2 linked regions of the Cricetulus griseus genome follow. The protein of the gene in region 2 interacts with the protein of the main gene of each other region in a pairwise test. Links are inferred from orthologs where the notes say so. Each region holds a gene or a part of one and is shown on either strand. Other genes may lie near its edges.

Evidence for each region. The genes of interacting proteins can lie anywhere in the genome.
Region 1: the proteins of Acy3 (region 2) and Pmm2 interact in binary tests that used the Homo sapiens proteins (3 or more experiments, as listed by UniProt). The two-hybrid records come from large-scale screens. The link is inferred for Cricetulus griseus from reciprocal best matches to the Homo sapiens genes ACY3 and PMM2.

The regions. Positions count from the first base shown.
Region 1 is NC_048600.1:38,114,806-38,117,899, forward strand, and holds the end of Pmm2 (phosphomannomutase 2), read right to left. Parts: intron 2,171-3,094; coding exon 2,069-2,170; 3' UTR 501-2,068; downstream 1-500. UniProt on the Homo sapiens protein: Involved in the synthesis of the GDP-mannose and dolichol-phosphate-mannose required for a number of critical mannosyl transfer reactions.
Region 2 is NC_048596.1:55,252,892-55,257,172, forward strand, and holds the start of Acy3 (N-acyl-aromatic-L-amino acid amidohydrolase (carboxylate-forming)), read right to left. Parts: upstream 2,801-4,281; 5' UTR 2,744-2,800; intron 2,368-2,743; exon of another isoform or gene 2,311-2,367; 5' UTR 2,106-2,310; exon of another isoform or gene 1,809-2,105; intron 1,157-1,808; 5' UTR 891-1,156; coding exon 655-890; intron 231-654; coding exon 35-230; intron 1-34. UniProt on the Homo sapiens protein: Plays an important role in deacetylating mercapturic acids in kidney proximal tubules. Also acts on N-acetyl-aromatic amino acids.

The DNA.
Region 1 (3,094 bases), on a different chromosome or scaffold from region 2:
CTGCCCACTTAACAGATGAGAAACTGAGGTCAGGGCTTGCCTTGAGCTACATCTGTCTAGCAGAACTAGTCCTTCATCCTGGGCAGCCACTCATCATACTGCAGGCCCTGCTCCACCAGCAAAGCCATACATGTGTGACTTAGCCACTATCGTTTTTTTACAGCCAGGTGATGCCTGGAGAGCAGAGGCCCTTTATTAGGTGGGAAGACTGAATGATGACTGTGTGTGTGTGTGTGTGTGTGTGTGTGAGGGGGGTGACAGCCACTGTAGGAACTGACAAGGCCTGAAGTCCACCTGGCAGCTTTGGGTCCCCACCTGAGGGCAGCACGGGACCTGCAGGCAAAACACAGCCTCTGGCCAGCTGGGACCTACAGCAGCCAGGACAGCTAGGGCTCCAGTGTCACTAGAGTAGAGCAGAAGAGGTTTTCAGGACCCAAGGTGGAGCTCTCTGAAGAACCCATCTGACACCCAGGATTAAAGTGACCAGAACAAGAGGCAAGGAAGGTGCAGTCCCTTTAATGTGTTTCCCTGGGCAAGTGATCACAGCACTGCCGTAAAATCCAAGAACGTTTGCCTCTGGGTGGAGATCCTGGCACTGTCCTGTGGGGGTGGACAGAGGTGAAGGGGTCAGTAGCAGATGCCAGTGTGGGTAGCCAAGGGCAGGGCTGTGGGAATACATGGTGGCTGGAGGCAGGAAAGGGTAGCAGCAGCAGTTCCCAACAAGGAGCTGGGCTGCAGAACCGTTTACTAGGCACTGGAAAGTGGCCTGGGGACTTTCTTAGAAGGCACTCCCTGAGGTTTTGGACGAGGCCTGTGCACTCTCCAGGAAGAGGCTGAAGGAGTGGCAGCTCCTATGTGGTCATCTGGCTATTACCTGGGTCAGGTAGCTTGGAGGGAAGGACTGCAGACAGGGCTTTGCTTTGCTGGGTCCTCTATCCCCCCTCCTGCTGGTGACAAGGCAGCAGTCCTGCTGTAAAATGTAGTAAATAGAGCCAGCCAGGCCAGTAGAGGTGCAAACTAGGATCAGTTGTCACTTGGCCAGCTATCTGTCAGGCAGGCCAAGCTGTGGTCTCTGGCTCATAGACAGGAAGCTGGCTTGAAAACAGAAACATCAGCCCTTTGGTAGAACACTGGCCTTAGTTCATGCCCCAGCCTCCACCGCAGACTGGGAATATATCACAGAAGCCTTCAGTTTCGTCCCAGGTGGGCAACTGTGCATAGCTTATGTTTTTTCATCATCAGGTCCCCCTTTTGATGGTGAGATGGGTGTGCACACTGACAACCATCAGGTCTCCCTGCACACTGACAATTGTCAAGTCTCTGTGAAACCTTGGCAGGTGTATTGGTGCATGTAACCTGCATCTGTAAGGCACAGGCATAAGATGGAGCTCAAAGTCAGGCTGGCCCAGGGCTACACAGTGAGACCATGGCTCCAAATAAAGCCTCCCCCAACCCACCACTGCCAGAAAACGGTCCACAAAGGGGAAGGGGCCCAGGCATACTGTTTTTTTTTTTTTTTTTGTATCATCATATGGGGACATTTCAAAGACCAGCCATGGATCCTGTCAGCCAGTTCTTAGACCATAGGCTGAAGGAAGGGAATGGTGGAATACTTCTGTTTCTGAGGTACTTAAATCAATGGAGAGCCTCATCCATACTAGGCCAAGTGTTCTTTGGGTAATGCCCCCAACCCCAGAGCCACCATTCTGTTTGAGACAGGGTCTCATTCTGTACCTCTGGCTGTCTTCTGACTGGTTGGCAATGCTCCTGCCTCAGCTTCCTGAGTACAGATTCCAGACATGATCCACCACATCCAGCCACAGCCATTTCTGATTAAGTTCTTTCTTTTCCCTTGGGGCTGCCGGTGGTGCTAGATGGAGGTGGAGGCATGGCCTGTTGGCATGCCCAGTGAGGTGACCGCTAGTCCCTGTGTGTTTGGACCCATGAGAACAACCTGGCTGGAGGCTAGGGACATATACACATGAGGAGGGACTCCGGCTCTGGCCCTAAGTGACCCCGGACCCTGAGGGACCTTTCAGTCTTGTTGGCCAGGCCCATTCCTCTGGTGTTAATGGAAGAGCTCCTCACAGATCCTGCGTGTGTCCTCGGGTGCTGTCACCGTGTAGCCCACAGTTCTGGGGTCTGTGAAGATCTCATGGTCATTGCCACCCTGCAAAGACACAACAGAAGCAGTAGGCTACGGTTTGTCCTGGTCCCTGGCTGTTGCAACCCTGATGTTCCTAGCTTAGGGAGGTTTCTTCAGTTAATTTTCCCTTAGTTTCCAAGAAAGGAATGACATTTTTGTCACACTGAGCAGGAGTTTAACCTTCTCATGAACCGAAATCGAACTCAGAAAAGGTAATTATGCTCATGAAAGGCATCAGATGCCTTTGTGAGGATCTGGCTATGGCTTGTTTTTCTAGTGAAAAAGTACAGCAAATGACAATCACAGCTATCAGTTTGTCTTTGTGCCCAAATGTCTCTCGAAAGTCACAGGAATGTTGGAGGGGCAGGCTGCCTAGAGTGGGGCTGCTCACACCCTGTGAAATTAACATTTCACAGGTAGGTATACATGTTCCTACCTGTAGGTGTGCATGTGTAGGGTACAGGTTGATTGGGTATCTTTCTCAGTTGCTCTCCATCTCATTTGAGACAGAATATTCACTGAACCTGGACTTCAGTGATTTGGCTGGACCATTTGGCCAGGGAGTGCTAGGATCCATTTGTCTCTGCCTCCCAGTGCTGGGATCATAAGCATACACCACTATGCCTGGCTTTTTATACAAGTTCTGGGTATCTGAAAAGGTTTCTCACTTGTGTGGCAAATATGTGACTATGAGCTGTCAGCTTTGAGTTTAATTATCACCATCATTTTGAGGAAGTTAGGCTATATAGCTACATCATCATTACCATCATCACCATTTTGAGGAAGTTAGGCTACATAGCTCAGGCTGGCCTTAAATTCAAGATCCCTGGCTTTGGCCTCCTTTGGCTGGGATTACAGGCACAGGCCACCATCCCTGACTTTAATGAAATTTAAATGCCCCTCCAGTGACTACCTGACAGCAGATGGGAAGAAAGGTGGCAGGGTAGG
Region 2 (4,281 bases):
CCTTCCCTCCCTCTCCCTGCCCTCTAGGAACCACCTGTAGGTAGTGACACAGGTGCAAGTTGAAGGGGCTGTGAGAGGCTTCAGAGATGAGGCAGACCCCAGTGTTGGCTGTGGTGTTGTGCAGGTCTAAGATGAAGTCAAAGGCCTGGTCTGTGCCCTTGGGGCCCAGTAGCTGGTTCAACTCTTGTGCTCTTGTCACTTCATATGGGTCATTGGGAGTGGCTGTGGAACTGTGGGGGAAGGAGTAGGGGACACCAGTCCCCATCATCTCAATCAGTGTCCTTTTTCTTGGCTAACTTTTCACCTTTGAGGACTTGGCTGAGATGCCACCTCCTACAAGAAGCCTTTCCTGACTGCTCTCAGCTACATGACTGCTTCATGTAGCATCCAACTGTGTCCCCAGTAACCTGAGGGTCACACCTTGGTCCTATTCCCCAATGTGAGTCTCACTCCAGCTGTCAAGAGTCTGGCCTAAGGTTCAGGGACTGATCCATCTTGCAGTCAGGACCGACTTCCTGGAAGAAGTGACATTGATCTGGCTCTCTCAAAACCAGAGGGTCAATGAGCAAAGGTAGGGCTGCCTTGCTAGCCACAGAGGCTTGTCTGCAGGGATGCTAGTACCCGGCTGTGGACCAGCCAACCTGGCCAGCTCACCTGAGGAAGGTGAAGGTGAAAGTGCGGTTGAGATCACGGTCCATGTAACGGCGACAGGCGGCTGTGGCTGCTGGGTTGGCCAGAACTGGCATGGCTGAGAAGCTGGGTCTCTGCAGCTCCCCTGGGGCCTGCAGCCAGTGCCGGATCAGGTGGATGCCACACATCTCATTTCCGTGGGTGCCCCCAGTCACAGCCACTCGGCGCAAGGGCTCCCGGGGCACGGGCAGGGAGCTCATCCCAGTGTGGAGCAATAGTCTACAAGAGATAGAGCTGGGACAGCAAGGTGAGCTCCCCGTGCCCTGAGAAGTCTGAGAGGTATCAGGTGACAGCTGTGTCCCACCTGTACCCAGAAGCCAAGTTCAAGGATACCTTCAGTGAAATTTCTGTTCCACTTGGCACCTCAGTTCTGCCTCTGGAACTTTCTTTGTGGGTGAGCTGCTCTCCCCACTTTTCTCTCAGAGGAGACACTTTCCTCTCTGCCTTTAGAAGGAGTTTCTTCCACCTGTGAAACCAGCACAGGAGCCGCGTTGGTGTTAAGGAGACGCATTGTCACACATTGTTAATAAGTCTCCATCTCTTAGAAGAATAGGCTCTGTTTCCTGTAAACCATGTTTCTCAACCTGTACTGAACTTGTAACCCGTAATGTATACCCAGCCTTTTACCTTGTTAAACCCTAAACACCTGTGGTGGCACCTCTTCTTGTGCCTGTCTACCCCCCAGGCAGCCTTGAGCCCTGAGTCCCTCACCCTTCTGTCCAGGCACTAACAGCAATGATCTCAACAGCTGTTTTCTATCAACCTAACCCTTCCCCATCAAAGGGACCTCAAAAGCCATTGAGGAGCTGCTCTCTGAAACCTGACTTAGGGGGAGGCTGTGGTCTGGCCAGTCCCTTGTGCTCCTCTAAATTCACCTTGCTTTAATCAAATAGCCTTGGAAATGGCTCTTTCTCAGGTCTAACATACCTAACCTAAGAGGGACTCAAACATTCAGAAGAGTTGGCTGGTCCCACCCCTACCATCATCACTACAGCTGGTGCCAAGCTTTCCAGGAGAGGAGACTGTCTCCCCATTAGCTGTGCAGCAAGTATCTAGGGTCCAGGCCACCCCTGCACCCTTCCTCTGACCTGGCAGAAAGCCTCCACGAGTCCTCTTACCTGCTGCTACGTGTCTGGGCTTCCCTAGGCCACGGGCCTGAAGTGTCCACCTCCTGGCCCACAGTATTTACAGGCCTGGAGGCCCCATGCAGGAAGTGTTTGTGCCCAGTTACTGGAGAGCTGGGGGTGGGTGGCTGGGCTGAGAGCCAAGCAGCCAAAGTTCGTAGGGCTCCACCCCCACAGCCTAATGGGTCCAGATGCCTGGGGCAAGTTCCTTGCCCTCTGCTCCTCCTCTGGAAATGGGGACAGTTTTACCTGCCAGAGCCTCTGAGGATTCCTGCTGGAAGCTGCACTTACCCTTGGAAAATTAATCGCAGAGATTCCTGACCTGGAATGTAACACGAAAAATAAAAGGACCCAGAGGCAGATATTCGGGTTCAAGCTGAAGATCAGGGAAGCAGAGCAGCTGGTCACTGGCTCACACCTCTAGTTCAGGCTGAAACGGCTGATCCACACACAAGCTCTTCACCAAGTCTCAAAGTGCTGCCTCTCCTCAGCGTGGCTGGAGAATGAATGCGCCTATTGAATGCTGAAGACCCTGCTTCTTTTATAATCCTCTAGTACTGGAATTAAAGGCGTGTGATCTGTTATTCTCTTTTTTATAGCCTAGTTCCTTTTTTATTTTAATTAGAAAGAAGATTATTTTACATGTCAAGCCCAGTTCCTTCTCCTTTCCCTCCTCCCCTGCCCCCCCCCAACTAACACCCTACCTATCCCATACCCTTTCTGCTCCCCAGGGAGGGTGAGGCCTTCTGTAGGGGGCCTTCAAAGTCTGCCATTTGGGATAGGACCTAGGTCAACCCCCTTGTGTCTAGGCTGAGGGAGTATCCCTCCATATGGGATGGGCTCCCAAAGTCCATTCCTATGCTAGGGATAAGTATTGATCCACTACAAGGGACCCTATAGATTTCTGAGGTCTCCTCACTGGCACTCACATTCAGGGTGTCTGGATCAGTCCAATGCTGGTTTCCCAGCTATCAATCTGGGGACCAAGAGCTCTCCCTTGTTCAGGTCAGCTGTTCCTGTGGGTTTCACCAGCCTGGTGTGGACCCCTTTGCTCATCACTCCTCCTTCTCTGCAACTGGATTTCAGTTCAGTTCAAGGTTTAGCTGTGGGTGTCTGCTTCTACTTCCACTGAAAGACCCCCGAAGAGGTACTTTCGTAGAGGGAGACCCACACCCAGGAATCAGCGAGGCCACGAACTGGATGTAAAAACAAGAGGCTTTATTGGAGACGCGGGTACCCGGGGCGACTTAGCTTCTGTGTGGCTAAGCGCGCCGAGCCAAGGGAGAGGTGCCTTTTTATAGAAAAAAACACAAGCAAGGAACAGGGATTCTATTGGATGGTTCAAATGAGGCACAGAGCCATTCCAGATCAGCATATTCTCAAGGTCTGGTGTCTGGTACAACAGACTTGATTCCTCCCTCCGCGCCCAGGTGGCTGACCTTGGGACGAAGGTTCCCCAACGGGGGGGGGGGGGGGGGGAGGGGTGCCCTTTTCCCGCTCGGCCCCAGCCCCGGGGCGCGGTGCCAGGGCAGCCCCGCCTGGGTGAACCGGCTTGGGAGGGAAAACGGCAGCCGGGGGCGTGGGGCCGGCGGGGGCAGGGACAGCGGGACAAAGGGGAAGCAGGGCGGCTCCGCGGCAGCTCGCCCGCGCTGCACTCTCCAGCCCCTGGCCGTATCCTGGCTCTGCCCTGCTCAGTCCCCGAGGCGCTGCCCTAGGTCAACTGCTCTTCTCAGCCCATCCCGGCTGCTCCAGAGAGAACACCCAGCATCAGCATAGGCGGGGGGAGACAGAGAGGCAGCGGGCCTTTCACCCACCAGCTGCTGGATGAAGACTATTCTTTACACTGATTCAATAACATGTATTTCTGTGTGGCCTTGAACTTAGATCTGTCCGCCTCTTAATCCTGAGTCTTAGGATTAAAGGTGTGTACCACCACCTCCTAGCTTCTGGATGCTGGGACTAAAGGTGTGTGTCTAGCTTCTATGGCTTGTGGCTGACTTTGCTTTATGAATCCTCAGGCAAGCTTTAATAAATCATAAAAAATATATCACTACACTGGAACGATGACTCCCAGTCCTCAGAAAGGGTTTGGCTTTTCTGACTGTGGAGTTGGTTCAGGGTCTTGTCCCATGTGGGTAGACAAGGCCTGTCTGGTGCTCCAACCCATCTACCCAGAGAGGCACTTTCCTTAAGGCTACTTAAGGCAGACAGCAGTGGCTAGTGACTTGGTTATGGCTGCACCAGCCTTGTACCTTGGGGGCCACCAGAAAAGAAGTCCCCTTCCCTTGGCCTCCTTAGCATCACCCTCTGTTCCTGCAGCTCTTAGGGCACCTCCCCACTTCTTTGAGGCTGGGACCCATGGGGTTCAAATCTTAGAGCCCATTGATGCTTCAAATGAAATTGCAAAATGTTTTGCCTAGTCTTTGTGGTTTCAAGGGTGCTATAACCGAAATGGCTTTGTTTGCTC